3 linked regions of the Neodiprion lecontei genome follow. Each later gene encodes a partner of the first gene's protein in a complex. Links are inferred from orthologs where the notes say so. Each region holds a gene or a part of one and is shown on either strand. Other genes may lie near its edges.

Region 1 (4,543 bases):
CATTGATACGTATGGTTATCTGTCACCTGCTGCTCACGATATTGACATAGAGTAACGTCATTGCGGCTTATCGGCATGATGCTCGTACGAGAAATGGTATAAATTCAGCACGAGGTTTGTTGACCCGTCGCTATCCGTCGTTAGTTAAAATCTCGCTAATAATCGGAGGGACAAATATGTAAAAAAAACCACAACGTGTGGTCAGTCGAAAATCTATAGATAGGTACACGAGTCTTCGCACGAGGAGAAACTTAATTCTCGTTCAAAATGAACAATATCAATAAAAATGATACTATTATTTGAATTTCACGAATAAAAATAGTACCTAATCGTAGATATTTACAATCAACGCAATTCCAAGTTTTGTATTTCTTCGCTGTAAGAACATCCCAAATGTAAATCCTTCCGAAATACCTAACATTCATTTGTTAATTCTTATCGTTAGCAGTTTCCTTGATCGGAAATCTCTTTGTTCCTTGTCGCAAGTTGATGTTTTCTTTTTTCGTCTTTTTATTTTAGTTTCTTGGTTTTTTTCCGCTATTCCCCTCGCCAGTGAAACTTCTCCCTCCCTTCCTAGCCGTGCGACCGAGCGAAACGGTTGGCTGCTCGCAACCCGTCGCCACTGTCAAAACCGATGGAATATTCCACTGCGTACTCCACCGACTATGCCATCTGCTCACCGGCCCCGGCAGCGCGGCGAAAGGGGGGCAGGGTCCCCTCGTCCTTTCGTCGGGTTAACCCCTCTTCCCCTCACCGCCAGCAAAGTATCATGATTTCGAGCACCATAGGTCGGAACACTTTTTGTTGGAAATTTATATTACGTACTTGCAACGCGTCTTACACGAAATTGCATAATCGTTGTTTGCCCGAAGTCTGTATACGTTACGTAGGAACAGCAATTGAACAGTAATTTTAACGAGGTTGAAGTTAGTAAAGTCATCGTAACGAAACGTTGAGAAAAAAATCACTATTTTCTTATTTTTACAATGATTTTTAAGGAACCAGGATTGAAAAATATGAGTTCATTTCATTTTATAGCGGTTTACTGATTTTCAAAGAGTTCCAAAATTTCGAAATAACGGTTTTTCCTCGTCACAAATCGCGTTTCGATAACGTTACTAACTTCAATACGATGAATTTTACGGGTGAACGACGAGACAAATGACGTACTATCAATTGCCGAAATGCAGGGGGATTTCGGTAAGAGATATAGGTACATCCTACTTGTTTTTTTTCTTTTCATGCTTTGCTAACAAGATCTTATCAAGTTTGTACGAATGTACGTACCTCTAACGTCTCTTTGTAAGAGAAAATAAAATTCGTCTTCGGATCATCATTACGAGTACTCGTTATCGGCAAGGAGATTTAATTTTCATTTGCTTTCTGCGTTTGCCGGCGAACACCAACCGCCTCGACGTGTAGGTTCGGCCCTGTTTCCTCCGTCCTCCCCTCCTTCCAATCCCATCACCTTGCTCACCCCTACTTTGGGCTTTGGCCCCCATCGCACAGAGGCCAGCTAGCATCAAGCGGCTTACAGACGGAGAACGTCGAGTCCGGAATTAAATACGCGGTGTGAAGTTATCCCGAGATTGACGTCGAACTTGTTTCACGGTGTGTTTCACGTCGCGCGTCTTCGTTGTTTCTCGCTCGTTTTTCTCGCGTGCCGGATTTTTGATAAAAAGATAATTAATAAAACTGATTAAGTAGATAAAGAGAATCATCCTCGAGCGCGGTTAAATATGATGAGCAGCCAGGTGCAAAATCGCGGCAACGTAAACAACGATCCGAAGGGTGTTACGGCCGTTAACAGCCTTGTGATTAACCCCGATAGCGGTACTCTACAAAGTATTCACACTCTTCAAAACGGCCAGAACATGTTGGTCGTTACGCAGGACGCACAAGGCAAGGAGGTTCTTGCCGTCGCTGACGAACAAACGATTGTTAACCTCACCCTAGATTCGTATTGTTCGTATTCCATTTCCTCGTTTTTTTTTTTTCTCATCCTTATATCCGTCGCTTTCAAACTGCCTCTTTTTTTTGTAGTCGCTATAGATTCGACATCACCTTTCAGTGTCCGATAATATTTACAGTACTGGTTATAGAAATTCTTACTTTTCATCAATTTTATCGATGGAGATTTATTCCACAAATTTTATCCTGTACCCTCTTTTCTTTCACTTTTCCGGTCACCTCACAGTTGATTAAAATTTTGAATAAAAAAATGTGTAGATGCGATTAAATGAACTCAGATTTCAAGTAACAGTTTGTCTCGGTGGAAATTATTCACGCTCCGATTCCTTGTAGCAGAGAAAAAAAAAAAATAAGAAATTGTAACCTCTCTCCAAGTGAACCTAACGAATCGTTTCTGTCCAGATATTTCCGTTCTAAGATTATCCTGCTCAGGGGTTTAAGAATAATTTTTAAATTACTCGAAAATATTTTCTCTGCCAAGAAATACAGTGGAACTTTTTCTTCCTACGTTTGATGAAAGATTTGCAAAAGTTTTTAGATAACTTACTAAAAAGTTAGCGACTATAGTATTCCGAACTACAATGAAATTTCGTCGACTTTTATTCTGGTCAATTCATATTCATGCTTTCTCTTTTCTCATTACAGGGTTGTTGGAATTGGCGCATAGAGAGTACCAGGCAGGAGATTACGAAAATGCGGAAAGACATTGCATGCAGTTATGGAGGCAAGAGACCAACAACACTGGCGTTCTTCTTCTCCTGTCTTCTATTCACTTCCAATGTCGAAGGCTCGATAAGTATGTTTTATGCAAATAAATATTTTGGAAAATATTATACTACTCGGTGTAGTTGAAGGAAATTAGAATTCATATCCAAAGAGAATTGTATATTCATTGTTGACGGCCGACTTGTAAATGCGTTTTTTTTTTTTATTAACCTGAGACCTTTTCTTTTAAGGTCTGCACACTTCAGCTCACTGGCTATAAAGCAAAATCCGTTACTCGCGGAGGCGTACAGCAACTTGGGTAACGTTTTCAAAGAGCGTGGCCAGCTACAAGAGGCTTTGGAAAATTATCGTCATGCTGTCAGGCTCAAGCCCGACTTCATCGATGGGTACATCAATCTCGCAGCTGCATTGGTCGCTGCCGGTGATATGGAACAAGCGGTCCAGGCCTACGTTACCGCTCTGCAATACAATCCCGTAAGTGGATTATCGTTGATTAATTTGAATGGTTTTTCTGTGATTTGTTGTGCTCGAATTAACTGAAAGTTTCTTACGACTCAATAAGTCATTCTTGTATGATTGAAGAAAGAGAACTTGAATACCTGCTGCTGTGTTCGAATACATTGAAAAGAAATTTGTTAATAATATAAATCTTACGGTATTCGAGGCCAGTTTTGTCTAACACATGGTATGCAATTTGTTACAGGATCTCTACTGTGTGCGCAGCGATCTTGGTAATCTTTTGAAAGCATTAGCAAGGCTTGATGAGGCCAAGGTAAGTTGACGTTCAAACCCTGTGTAAGTTTAGACACTAATCCTACACGCTACATCCTATATGTTTTTGTACCACTGTTGAATAGTGCGTAAAACTACACTTGAAGTCGTTTTACGATGATCAAAGTATCGCTACGAATAATTAATTCTCGTGAGTTTAAAATGCGTTGTTGAAACCGTTTTCCGACTAGCAGAAGCAGGCATTTTCTATTTGTTACTTCGGAGTAAGATTCCTATAAACTTAGAAGCTGTTAAATATAGAAATTAACGCGTGTTTTTTTTTTCAATTTTCGGAACTTCAAACTCGTACAAAGGCATATAGGTGTCTCGTGTCTCCTGGTTAGTGTAGTTCTGAGGAATGTGTAGAGCGAATGTTTGTGTATATTTAGCTCATGCAGAAAGCTGTCTTTCTTTGCCACAATAACGATATTATAAAGAAAAGCTGCTGCGCGGCGCGCGATCTGCCATCAAAATAAAAACATGTTTACATTTTCCATTCTCTTGTTTCAGCATTTAACGTTTTGATTGCAGACGAAATATTGTTGTGTACTCTTGCTTTTGGGAATTTTGGGTTTACCATGTTTGACGCCTGTTCGTTGGCAAAAACTTTTTTTCAATTTTTCATTATATTCAACAAATGTTTCAAACTTGCAAGTCCCGAAAAAAGCGGTGGTAAAATTTGTGTCAGACATGGTTAATGGGTTTAGGTTTGTGAAGTTGTTGGAGGAGGCGCGGAAACAACGTCAACAATGCGCGAATTGATGCAACGCCATTAATTACGATCACTCTAAATGGTGCTACAACAATTGATTTCAAATACCTCTTTGTTGATCCTGACAATATTCATCATGCCACTAAAAGATTTTTTTTTTTTCCTAAACACTTGCTACATGCAAGTTGTCACAATGTGTAAAGTAATTTCCTATCTGAAAATAGTCAAATCGATGTGTAGCATGAAACAGGATCAGCAGCGCGCGTGTAGTATGTAAGTTTTTCCTGAATGTTTGTTCCTACAATTTCTGTTTTTTTCTTTTTTTTTTTTGTACAGCGCTTTCTTACATCCATACAACGGTTG
Region 2 (4,567 bases), on another chromosome or scaffold:
TCGTCATCGCCCTCCGTTCGACCGCGAGAAGATAATAATAGGAACGTCGAGTCCGGCGGTAGTTCTCCATCGGTCGAGAAGGGCGGTAATGTCAGTCTGACCTACAACGAGATGATGTCCCGAGGGCCGACTCCGTACACGGAGCAAACCCCGTTAGAGCAGATATACAGAGCCGGAGTGCCGGTGACGATCCCCGACGACGCGGTCGCCTCGACGCCCGATATCACGACACTCCTGACCCCGGACAACTCACCACCGGGTATTGTTTCAAGGGAATGAACCAGGCGTGTGTTCTAGCATGGATATACTTATATCCTGGTGAAAATAATTCTATTAATTTCCGTGAAAATATCTACGAAGTTTTACGCAAATTTCTATGCAAAAGTACAGGATTTGGGTCGATCCATAGTTTTTGAACTCGAGATATCGTAACGATTCGTACAGTTTTTCGTAGATTATTATTATTAAGAAAAACTACGAATTCACCCAAATCCTGTACCTTTGCATAGAAATTGCCGTAAAACTTCGTAGATATTTCCATAGAAATTCGTAGAATTATTTGTACCAGGGGTTTTTTCACCAGGGTTCCTGGTTTAACAGAATAACAAATTAGCTAGTTTTTCCGTAAGACTCACCTATTGAGATAAGGTGAGTTGAAAAATATACGGCAGATGCTCTAAATCCGTCTAGATCATACTCACGATAAGAGAATGAGAAGATCGGTCTTCGGAGGTAGACCCGAATTTATCTTTATTTTCAAAAAGATGATAAACTCAGCTGCCTCCTTATCGAACATTTTCAGACGTACCTTTAACCGACATGGGTACCGAGGAATTGGTCAATTTTTTGAACGTCTCTCGCATGGAGCAGGTCCAGAGGATCAAGAAAGATATAGAACGGTTACACGATTTGGAAAAGTGAGAAATTTTGATTACACGGTGGTAAATGTGGATGAATCGGATACACCGGATGCAGCATCGGAATACAAGAGTAATGATACCGACGTCGGGTTCCAGGTTCCTGGAAGGGGTTGACAAACAGGGGTTCAAAGGATTGATCAAAGGCGACCTCGCGCGTCGCCTGGACAAGTTGGACGGCGTTGACGTCATCGGGGAAGTTGAAACCATGCTCAAATGACTAAAATCGAATTACCCGTAGCGTGACAGTTACAACTGGCTTCGATGAAACTGTCAGTAAATGTCTAGTCAACGCGCATGCAGTCCGTGGAAAATTTCTGATCAATGTATTTCGTTCGAATTGTAAGCGAAACTTCAGAATCGTTGAGATGGAAATAACTACGTACCGCGGGCTTCGACATAAAAAGTCATCTCTGCACCTACAGATAGACAACCGGAGTTGCAATTTGCCATCTCACCGAGCTGATTTTTCCAGGTTTAGGTCCGGTATCACAGATATGCCGTTTTAGCTGCGAGTTGCGAAGTAAAAGACAGAATTATCGTACATTCAATACTACTGATAAATTGTAACGTATAAAACAATATAGCTGCACATCATTTGAAACGTACCGATTCTCTCGACCCACGATCACGTTCATTATCGTTACTTTTTTCTTTCATTTGATCCGATCGCTCGATAAGCTGCGTGCGCAATCTGTGTTTGATCGAGTGATTTTCATTCGCTGGCAGAATTCGCCCACCTGACTCATCTCGAAAGGCATGCAATGCATAGTTCATAATGCTATCGTAATGGGAAATGGAGGTACGCGTCAATCTCCGTGGGTAGGAAACGCGTAGTGATTGTAGAATAAAATTGTCGAGATGCCGACCAGAGCAGAGAGGCCTAATTTGCTAACGTATCAAGACGCCCAGCATAGTTGGACCGACGACTTGCCCGTTTGCAAACAGTCAGGTAGACGATTGACAATTCCAACAAGTCCTAACCTAGTCTAGCCTAACTGAAGACTACTCAAAAATAACAGAAGTCCAAAATGTTTGATGAAAAACGCTCGAATCAATTTCTAATTGAAAATGGGTGAAAATTTTGATGGCGATTCCATAGGTGTGGGGTTTTCAACGAATCAAATATATAGGGAGGATGGTGGCCGGCAGGAGGATCATCCGTTCGAAGACCGTAGTTTTCACTGTCGGTACGACGACTCGACTTTTTTATACGGAGTTTTCGATGGACACGAGGGAACGAAGGCGGCTACTTTCGCGCTTCAGCGTATGGCAGCTGAAATTCTCTTAGGACAGCTCAGTGGCAAATCGACCGACGAGGAAGTTAAAGAAGTATTAAGGTAAGTAATTTCCTATATTCTTGGAAAGGTAAATCAAACCTAGGACTAATATTGTCGTCGCTTCTTTTCTCAGGCAAGCTTTCATTACCGTGGAACGTGGATATCTAGACTCTATTGGAGATATTCTGGCAGAACGGGCTAGTCTGCAATTCGACATACCGGATGGGCTGAATTCGTATGAAACTTACCAAAAATTTCCATACTTGGTACTTGTTTTTTTGTTTTACGACATATGAAACAAACGTTGTAATAAATCTACTGTGATCGTGTGTAACAATTGTTATTTTTCTTTCTTTTTAGGTGGACAAGTTGAGTTCTTTGAACAGCGAATTGTCGGCTGGAACAAGCGCGGTGGTAGCCTTAGTTTACGGCGGACGCTTATACGTAGCAAACGTCGGAGACAGTAGAGCATTACTCTGCAGAACTGACAGCAATCAGGTCTTGAGAGTCGTGCAATTAAGTGTAGATCACGATCTGAGGAACGAGGATGAGCTGTTGAGGCTGTCTCAGCTTGGATTGGACATTGACTCTGTTAAACAAGGTCTCTATAACAATAAGTTACCGTAATAGGGCGAAATGAGTACAAAACAAGACAATTTAGAGAATCCCCACCCCCCAAATATTTTTCTTTGACACATCAGCTTGCGCTGTAACCGTAACTGTGCTTCTCTAGGTTCACACCTTGGAAACCAGGAAAACACGAGATGCCTTGGCAATTACCTAGTCAAAGGGGGATACAGGGAATTTGAGGAATTGGCATCGGCGAGCACAGAGCCAATAATAGCAGAGCCGGAGATACACGGTGGTATAGAACTCGACGATTCGTGTAGATTTTTGCTACTCATGTCGAGAGGTCTCTACAAATCGCTGGAGGAAGCGACCGGAACTGATCAGGTCAACAAAGAGTTGGCCCAAATGGCCGTCGAACAGGTACGTTTATGAACAACGGGAAGATGTTTGTTCGAGTCTGGTCAAGCGAAAGTGATTCACGAGTACTTTTTGTCTCCAGTTTAGGGTACAGTCGACATTGACGGGAGTGGCGCAGGCAGTAGTGGATAAAATAGTGAGGATACATCATGACGTCAACATGAGCAATTCCCAGAATACATTGACTACTGGAAAAAGAGACGACATAACATTGTTAGTGAGAAACTTTAACTTTCCTTTGCCCAACGTCCTAAAAAGCCCTACTATTCAGTCGGTGAGGTTTAATCCCGACGTGCAAACTGTGCCCGTACCATCGCGAATGGACAATGACTACTATTCGAGCAGCGGAACAAATACGTCCGATCAACAAAACTGTGATACATCAACGACTGAAACTTCGACCACTTCAGACATGTACCCACCGGGTGGAAAGCCTGTGAACAGAGATACTAAAATCAAACCGTACGTCGACTTTTCAGAGTATTTCAAAACTGTTGAGAAGAGACGCGAGGAGGGAACCTTGCCAGAGGGTATCAATTTTTAAGCACGACTACGAGTGTGTCGTTGTCTATTTGATTTTTTTTTCATTAGTCATTACCTAGATCTCAACTCGCCTATTGTTACGATTATTATTATTGATTCTTTGTAGGGATGCACTGTAAGATATTTGTAATATTATGACTTTGTGTTAGTAAATTAAGTTTTTCGTGATAACTGGGCCATTACTATCCCTTAATATCGTTGATCAATTTGCTGCAACAAACGGACAATGCAGTCTTGATCACATAGCATTCATTAATCACATATCGGTAAAATGTCATCTCGTTATTAAAAATGATGGAAACGATATGATAAAAAAAAATATATATATATATATTTCTTTATAAATTATTTATAAACGATTGCTATACTATTCGGAAAATTTAGATTTGAACAGTTATTTTCCCATCCCAATCATTCGTCACAATTTTCGAAATCGCTTTATTAATGTTCTAATTGAGCTGAACTGTTTGTCGCAAGGCAAAATTTTATTTTATTATGTACATTTTTTTAATACAACCATCGCCCAATCGGACAGTTAAAGAGTAGTTTGCTGGTTTGTTTTCTCCCTCACTGTAGGATCAAGATGATTTCAGGATCGAGTTTGCGACAACCGTGAGACTAAAAGGCTAAGTTCCTGTTGGTATTAGTTTATTACCCGTGTATACGATTACTATACACAGTGACATTTAAATAGTTTTTTTTCTTCTATCGTCATTATCAATCCATAGATAACTGCACCCACGTACGGCGTTAAAAGTAAAATGGTAAACGAGGTCTAGAATCTCATCGCGACTGACACGCAGTACGTTTCTGGTTTAGTCGACGATCCAATATCTCCAA
Region 3 (6,408 bases), on another chromosome or scaffold:
GACTCACACTAGTTTGGGACGCCAAACGCGCGGAGGGTCCAGGAAACGGGAAGACGATGACAAGGAAAATAGGAGAAATGAAGAAGGTTTTTGAATAACTAGGAAGCGACTCAATAGACGATGATATAAGGCGGCACGCTGGATTCGCGGAAATGTCGCGTGCGTCGTTTTAGATAGGTAAATGCGAAGGTTAAAAAAGGATACACAGAAAGCCGTTGTCCCATATCTTGTATAAAATTTGCTGCCTGCTGACGATAACTTAGCTCTTTATCTGCGTCGAAACCGCATCTTCTGCTCGGGGTTGTTGCTAATTGTTCCTTCGTAAAGTACCATTTTTCGTCAGCCGCCATTTATATGTACACTTCTGGCGTATACGCAGAAACCCAGGCTCGGCTTCGCACTTCACGTTGTTCAAGGTTCCCGAGGTTGCGATCACGGCCGCCACCCGCCAGGAGATAGCTTCACGTCACGGAAACCGGAAGTAAGCGAACCACAAGGATGGAGTTTCAAAACCGCGATTCCAAGATCGTCTCAGAGCACCATCGAAGAGCAATTCACACCTTCAAATTTAATCCCACATGTACATACTTCGTATATTCACCGAGGTGATGATCAATTTTCGACAAATTTTTCACAGCGCAATAATAAATGTGATTTTTGCCACTTACTCGCGCGTCATAGGATGCGTCTCGAAATTAACTGGCGGCGCTAAAAACTCTCTAGAACGGAGAGAGCTACTTACAAACTCTGCAGCGCAAAAGAGATAAAATATGGTTGACAGCGCCAGGAGCAAAATCGGAACGCAACCATGGTCATGTTTTCCCCGTTACTAGCGCCACGCGACTGTGGATTTTAGTGCCAAGTGACGCGGCAGCACACAATGAGTCAATTTTGCCGACGAGAGGCGTCGGTCTATGGCCGTTCGAATACTTTATGGACGAAGCTTCGGAGACGTAATTTGCTCCTGTATCGTATCGGAAGCACTTAACCTAACCTTGTTGTATTGGTCCTTTCCAACTCCTTAGAGATTGTTTATCTCCCGATCGAGGTCCTCGCAGTCTTCTTGGCCTGTTGTTAAACATCAACGATCGATCCCGTTATGTAACGGACCCTTAGTCGGCTGCGTGCTTTCGCGATTTGACGAGGGCGGAGGATTGTTGGTTAGGATGTCGTCTCCGGTGTGTCTGGCATGTTATTATTGTCGCATCGTTATCATCCGTGTGTATAAACTGTAGCAAGACTGTTCGACGGGCCGTTGCTGACCTTCGAGGAAAAGTTTTTCTTTCGCTGTAACTCCGTCAACAGTGTCGCAGCGGTGGGACCGTTCGTTGTGAGTATTTCAGCTTCACGCCGAGCCTTGCTCCTCGTAAAATCGAGTACCAACCGAGCCGAGTCCGTTCAATCGTCTCCGAATAACGATATCATTGTTTTAATGCTTTTTTCGGAAATTACATACTACATTCGACACGTTGTATGTACCGTACATACGTACGCAGCGAACCTTCTGCGCAGTGATCTCGACAGTAACAAAATGGCGACGGCAAAACCCGTTAATCGGATCCGTTGTCGACGCCTCTCGACCGCGTTACTTGACCCGAAAATTCCATCCGAAGTCGTCGAATTGACTTATACCATTTTATAAATCTGTTCATCACCTTAAAATTCTCCCCGCATTCTCAAATTCATCAATAACGTAAAATTATTTTAATACAGTATACATGCACATGCATTTAGTGTCATAATATCGATACATCGCCGCCATTATTATGCGATCGATATTAATGGCGGCAAGTTTGAATACGGATGAATAGCGCCTTGCGTCATTTGGTTTTTGGTAATCTTCAAGTAAAAATCAAACGCGCAATTCATTGTAAAAAATATCAAAACGAACGAATTGTGAAAAACGGGTGGCAATAGAGTTGAATATTGGTCAAAGGAATGCTTCCTCAAATGTAGAGAAACGTCAAAAATCGGAGAATTCATACTGATGGAGCTCGATTATTAGCAAGTTTAGCGCAATTGCACTCTTTCACCACTTCTCACAATGCCAAAAAGTATGTGTTTTGCCTAATTCCACCGAATCACAACATGGAACAAAAATTTCTCTGATCCAATTCAATTGAATTGAACTTAGTACTGAAGCCTCAATATTTTTTTTGTAGTCACCTGGTTTTTAAGGTTAATTTTTTATATTCACCGTTATTTCCAGAAGCAATGTTTCGTGTGCCAAACGCAACTGCAACCCGAATTGGACCTGGAAAGAGTTCATCTGAAAGTCAAAGTTGTTCTTACGGATCATACGAATGCAAACAACAGAGCCTTGCGGGCTACGCCTATTGCTCCAGACATATTTTAGAGGATAGTTCTGCACCTTACAAGCAATGCAGTTTTGTCTACAACAGTAATGGCCGTAAGTGCCAGAACCCGGCATTGAAAGGTGATCGAAGAGATCTTGCGTAAGTGGAGCAATGAATGTTTATTCAGTTTGAATTTATTTAAATTGAAATCAACTTCATACCTTGAAACGACGATGAATGGCTTCACAAGAGAAGTTCTGTACGGTCCTTCGCTTTTCAGGTACTGTTCAGATCATGCGAGAAGGGCACAGTTAGCTCGCATCAAGTCCACATCGCGGCATTCGCCACCGCAGACCCCGGAAACTCTGCTTCTTAATCTAAGCCACTATGTTAAGCCAACAGATTCTAGTGCGGAGGATACGGAGGAAGAAGAAGGAAAGGTGAAGGTTCTGGATCCTTTTGGTGAGGGCCCATCTTTTCTAGAGATATAACACCTTTAATTTTTTTTTAACATTATCGCTGCTTCAGCTTTTTCGTGGTTGTTCATTAGGTGTGTTCTATTTTTCAGCTGAAATTGATGCCTATAGAATAAATGCCAGTGGTTGTGATGTCCTTGACTACGCAAGCTCTTCGGATAGCGATGTCGAACCTGTAGTTGTCAGCGAAACTTTACGTGGTGCATTCCTCGACGATAGCGAAGACGAAAGCCTCCAAAGTTCGCAGGAGGACCCACTTAAGTATGTCGGATCTTTGACACTCTGCACAAGAACTCGGCTTGGATAATTCATTGTTTACACGTATACTGTCCTGCAACTCAAATATCGCAGCAATTGAAATTGGAATTATTGGCTCTGATGCAAGTATCTCACATGCAAATTATAAATTTGAGCTTCTCATTTCTATTCAAATTATTTGCAGGGATACGAAGTTTTCAATCTACTTTAAAGTTATGGATTCATGAAATGATCACAGAATTTTTTAGAATCATTTTTGAGAGCCTTAAACTATTCGGAAAATATTAGACATTCCGCGAATATAAAGGGTTCAAATTTCAGGTGCTTACGGCATTAAAGGGGAATGAATGTTCAAAATTCTATATTTTTATCTAAAAATGATGATTCGTCTGATCGTAAAATTTTGCATTTGACTATTGAGGGAACTTTCCAACAAATTGCCTGTAATCTATGTGAAATACCGTCATACGCTTTGAGAGTTGTTTAAAAATATGTACCTATTAAATAATGTGACCACATATTTTTAGAAGATTAATTATAAGTAAGGTTTGAATTTTATATTACGTATTGTAACGCTAGCTTGCTTTTGCTTGTGCATTACTAAATAAGGGGACTAAATACCAAAATAGTTACTTACCTTCATTTTTATTGTTCTAACTGGATGTTGATTTAACCCTGAGAGACAATCATAAGCTTAACATTTACCCAATGGTGGATTGCTCGTGATATCACAGAGCTGGGAAAACTGAAAGTCAAGAAAATACTCTGCATCTACAAATCTTTGCTGGGAAGAGAATTTTAGCATTTTTTTTATTTTCAATTATCCTCTTGCAGAGTTCTCTCATTGTTTTTAAGAAAACACCTACTTTTAGAAATTCCAGCATGAATTTGTTGCATGCTTCACTTACCGTGTATAGTAACTTTGACCTGCCAGACCAACAGGCTGAACCTTTGACATCATGGTCGTTGGCGGAAAATTATTTTTTCTTTCAGACTTCTTTCAGGTGACAGTGTGAGATGGAAACGCTTCAACTCTGGAATAGGAGGAAAAAGAATTTAATGATTTGTAGCGATATCTAGTCCCCTTTAGATATTTTTACAAACTCCACAAACGAACAGTGATCAACTTTTCTTCCACGATAATTTTATTTCCATTTCGAGTATTTGCCCAATGAGGTACCCTAAATCTTCTTTTCTGTAGTAGCTGCTTCCAGCGTGACAGAGACACTTTTTATCTATTGAATCATTAGTATTAATTTTTTAAGGCACGCCGGAATCTTCACCGCCGAAGAGGTGATATACATAGCAAGGGAAAAGCTCATCAGGCTCCAATCGCTCTACATTGACCAATTCAGAAGGCTGCATCATATATTCAAAGAAAAACGTCGAAAGTACCTGCACACAGTGAAAAAGGAAAAAGAAACAACCTGTAAGTCTGGCGAGCTTAGATCGACCAGCAGCAATGTAATTTTTAACTAATATTTATTGTTCGATTAATTTTAAAACACAGGTAGCATTCACGATCAGCCGAAAGAAACCGCTAAGGAAAAAAAGATTTATGATAAATTAAAAGCCCTGAACTCTTACCACAGGCGGAGTGGCGTCGAAGCTATCCTTTACAAAAAATCATTGGAGAGGCGAGCTCAGGTATAAAAAACAATTCATATATTAAAATTTCGTCATCATCATTGATTGAAAGGAAATATATTTTTCAACATTTACTCACAACTCAAAGTGAAAAAATTGAAACTTTTACAACATAAAGTTTAGCATATAGCAAATGTATTTAACATAATTTTCATCTAGCAGGCAACCGAGGGTCCAGCGCAGAAGCCTCCCAACGTTACGAAATGCATTTTCACCGAAGGCGGAGTGAAGTGTGGGGAAAGAACGCTACCGGCAGCAAGACATTGCCGTAAACATATACTAAAGGTGAATTAATGTTAATTCGACAATTGATCGTTAATTTAGTAATTCTTCTTAACATGCAGGATCAGCATCAAGTATTGTTCAAAGCCTGTGGAGCTGTTAGAGCTGATATAGAATGCCACGAGCCTGTCCCAGTCGTTTTCGATTCGTCGTGCGTCTTTCACATGAATTTACCGCCGCCTTTAAAACTTGAATCTATGGTGGTAAGATGTGTGATCTTTTCATCGCATGAATCAAAAATAATTAATGCACACATTTGTATAATCGATAACAAAACAATGATGTAATAATATGTACAGTTGTAATTAAAAACACGTTTTCTATTTCCACTCAGTTCGAAGAAGCGAAACCCGTTATAAAGGAAGCTTCAGTATTGGATAACCAGTCGATGGAGATAGACGTAGTTGGAGAAACTCAAGAAATAGACCCAGATGACGATATGGCAGGATTAATGAGAGAGATGAACGATGCGGCGGGTAAAAAAGTAGCGTTCAACGATAGCTTAAACAGTGAGGCCAGCACAGATACCGCATTCAGTTTAACCGCACAGCTAAGCGACAAAGACGAGCTTATTCTAATTTGATGACTATTGATATTGAAAAGAACAAAAAAAAACTTTTACTTATTTACTGTACAAAAGTTCAAACGGACTAATTTGTTTTATAAAATACCATTAAAAATCTGCCGAGCACTGTTTCCAGATAATCTATAATTAATTACTTTCTTGTTTTCGATCTGCAACAGTTAGTTGCTGGTTTTTAAAGTCTATAGGAAATCCCAGGAATCTAGAAACATTAGTCTTTATAGTTAAGTGATAAGGCAAAAACTTCTAAAATATAGCAACTTCATTTTAAGCATGACCAATCGATTGTTTGTTCAACTTGTAAATAAATAATTATTAATACAATCATTGCATACCTGAGTTACTTCATTTACCTGTTTATTTACTCGAACGGATAAAGAGAATTATTCGATCTGTTCATCGATTCGTACGGGATATCAGGTAAAATTCCAAGTTGGAATGAATTTGAATGAAAAATAGTGTAGCCCGAAAAGAAGAGTAAAGTTTATGGCAGTTTCTTTTTTCTATTTTCATTGTTACATTATAAACTAAAATATAAATCGATCGAAAACACAATTGGTTTATACTGAATTCCTGATGTGAAATTTTAATCAAATCAGAGTCAAGATCATCAGCGCAAAACTACTGCAAAGGTTTTAGAAAGGTATGTATGTACAGATACAATTATGTCCAAGTTGTTATTTCAAAATGATATTTATAAGTACTTAGACGCTTACACCGTTTTCGATCACGATCAAAGAATTTATAATTAAAGAAGTTGAGATAACGTACTTCGAAGATATTATAAATAAAAGGAGGACTTGATAAAATAAATTGCAAATAGCTTATAATAAGTTTTACAAAATTCATGTTTTTCATTTCTAGA

What was found.
Region 2: the proteins of UDP-N-acetylglucosamine--peptide N-acetylglucosaminyltransferase 110 kDa subunit (region 1) and TGF-beta-activated kinase 1 and MAP3K7-binding protein 1 are in contact, whole or in part, in a crystal structure (PDB 4AY6), measured with the Homo sapiens proteins. The link is inferred for Neodiprion lecontei from reciprocal best matches to the Homo sapiens genes OGT and TAB1. Residues at the interface, in NP_858058.1 of Homo sapiens: Asp441, His506, His508, His509, Asn567, His568, Pro569, Gly641, Tyr642, Thr643, Lys644, Ala646, Gln849, Phe878, Pro904, Val905, Ala906, Pro907; in NP_006107.1 of Homo sapiens: Pro389, Val390, Val392, Pro393, Tyr394, Ser396, Ala397, Gln398, Ser399.
Region 3: UDP-N-acetylglucosamine--peptide N-acetylglucosaminyltransferase 110 kDa subunit (region 1) and KAT8 regulatory NSL complex subunit 2 share a complex: the UniProt entries of both Homo sapiens proteins name them as parts of the NSL complex. The link is inferred for Neodiprion lecontei from reciprocal best matches to the Homo sapiens genes OGT and KANSL2.

Annotation. Positions count from the first base shown.
Region 1 is NC_060261.1:5,988,758-5,993,300, reverse strand, and holds the start of UDP-N-acetylglucosamine--peptide N-acetylglucosaminyltransferase 110 kDa subunit, read left to right. Parts: upstream 1-1,510; 5' UTR 1,511-1,739; coding exon 1,740-1,965; intron 1,966-2,616; coding exon 2,617-2,767; intron 2,768-2,927; coding exon 2,928-3,171; intron 3,172-3,400; coding exon 3,401-3,469; intron 3,470-4,543. UniProt on the Homo sapiens protein: Catalyzes the transfer of a single N-acetylglucosamine from UDP-GlcNAc to a serine or threonine residue in cytoplasmic and nuclear proteins resulting in their modification with a beta-linked N-acetylglucosamine (O-GlcNAc).
Region 2 is NC_060262.1:385,861-390,427, reverse strand, and holds TGF-beta-activated kinase 1 and MAP3K7-binding protein 1, read left to right. Parts: upstream 1-1,665; 5' UTR 1,666-1,778; coding exon 1,779-1,869; intron 1,870-2,019; coding exon 2,020-2,257; intron 2,258-2,330; coding exon 2,331-2,463; intron 2,464-2,557; coding exon 2,558-2,798; intron 2,799-2,930; coding exon 2,931-3,187; intron 3,188-3,266; coding exon 3,267-3,728; 3' UTR 3,729-4,031; downstream 4,032-4,567. UniProt on the Homo sapiens protein: Key adapter protein that plays an essential role in JNK and NF-kappa-B activation and proinflammatory cytokines production in response to stimulation with TLRs and cytokines.
Region 3 is NC_060264.1:32,075,408-32,081,815, reverse strand, and holds KAT8 regulatory NSL complex subunit 2, read left to right. Parts: upstream 1-1,745; 5' UTR 1,746-2,044; coding exon 2,045-2,054; intron 2,055-2,209; coding exon 2,210-2,456; intron 2,457-2,577; coding exon 2,578-2,759; intron 2,760-2,865; coding exon 2,866-3,034; exon of another isoform or gene 3,035-3,110; intron 3,111-3,668; exon of another isoform or gene 3,669-3,776; intron 3,777-3,871; exon of another isoform or gene 3,872-4,065; intron 4,066-4,281; coding exon 4,282-4,460; intron 4,461-4,541; coding exon 4,542-4,678; intron 4,679-4,837; coding exon 4,838-4,963; intron 4,964-5,022; coding exon 5,023-5,163; intron 5,164-5,294; coding exon 5,295-5,543; 3' UTR 5,544-5,872; downstream 5,873-6,408. Other genes in the region: cyclin-T, read right to left, coding at 205-350. UniProt on the Homo sapiens protein: Non-catalytic component of the NSL histone acetyltransferase complex, a multiprotein complex that mediates histone H4 acetylation at 'Lys-5'- and 'Lys-8' (H4K5ac and H4K8ac) at transcription start sites and promotes transcription initiation.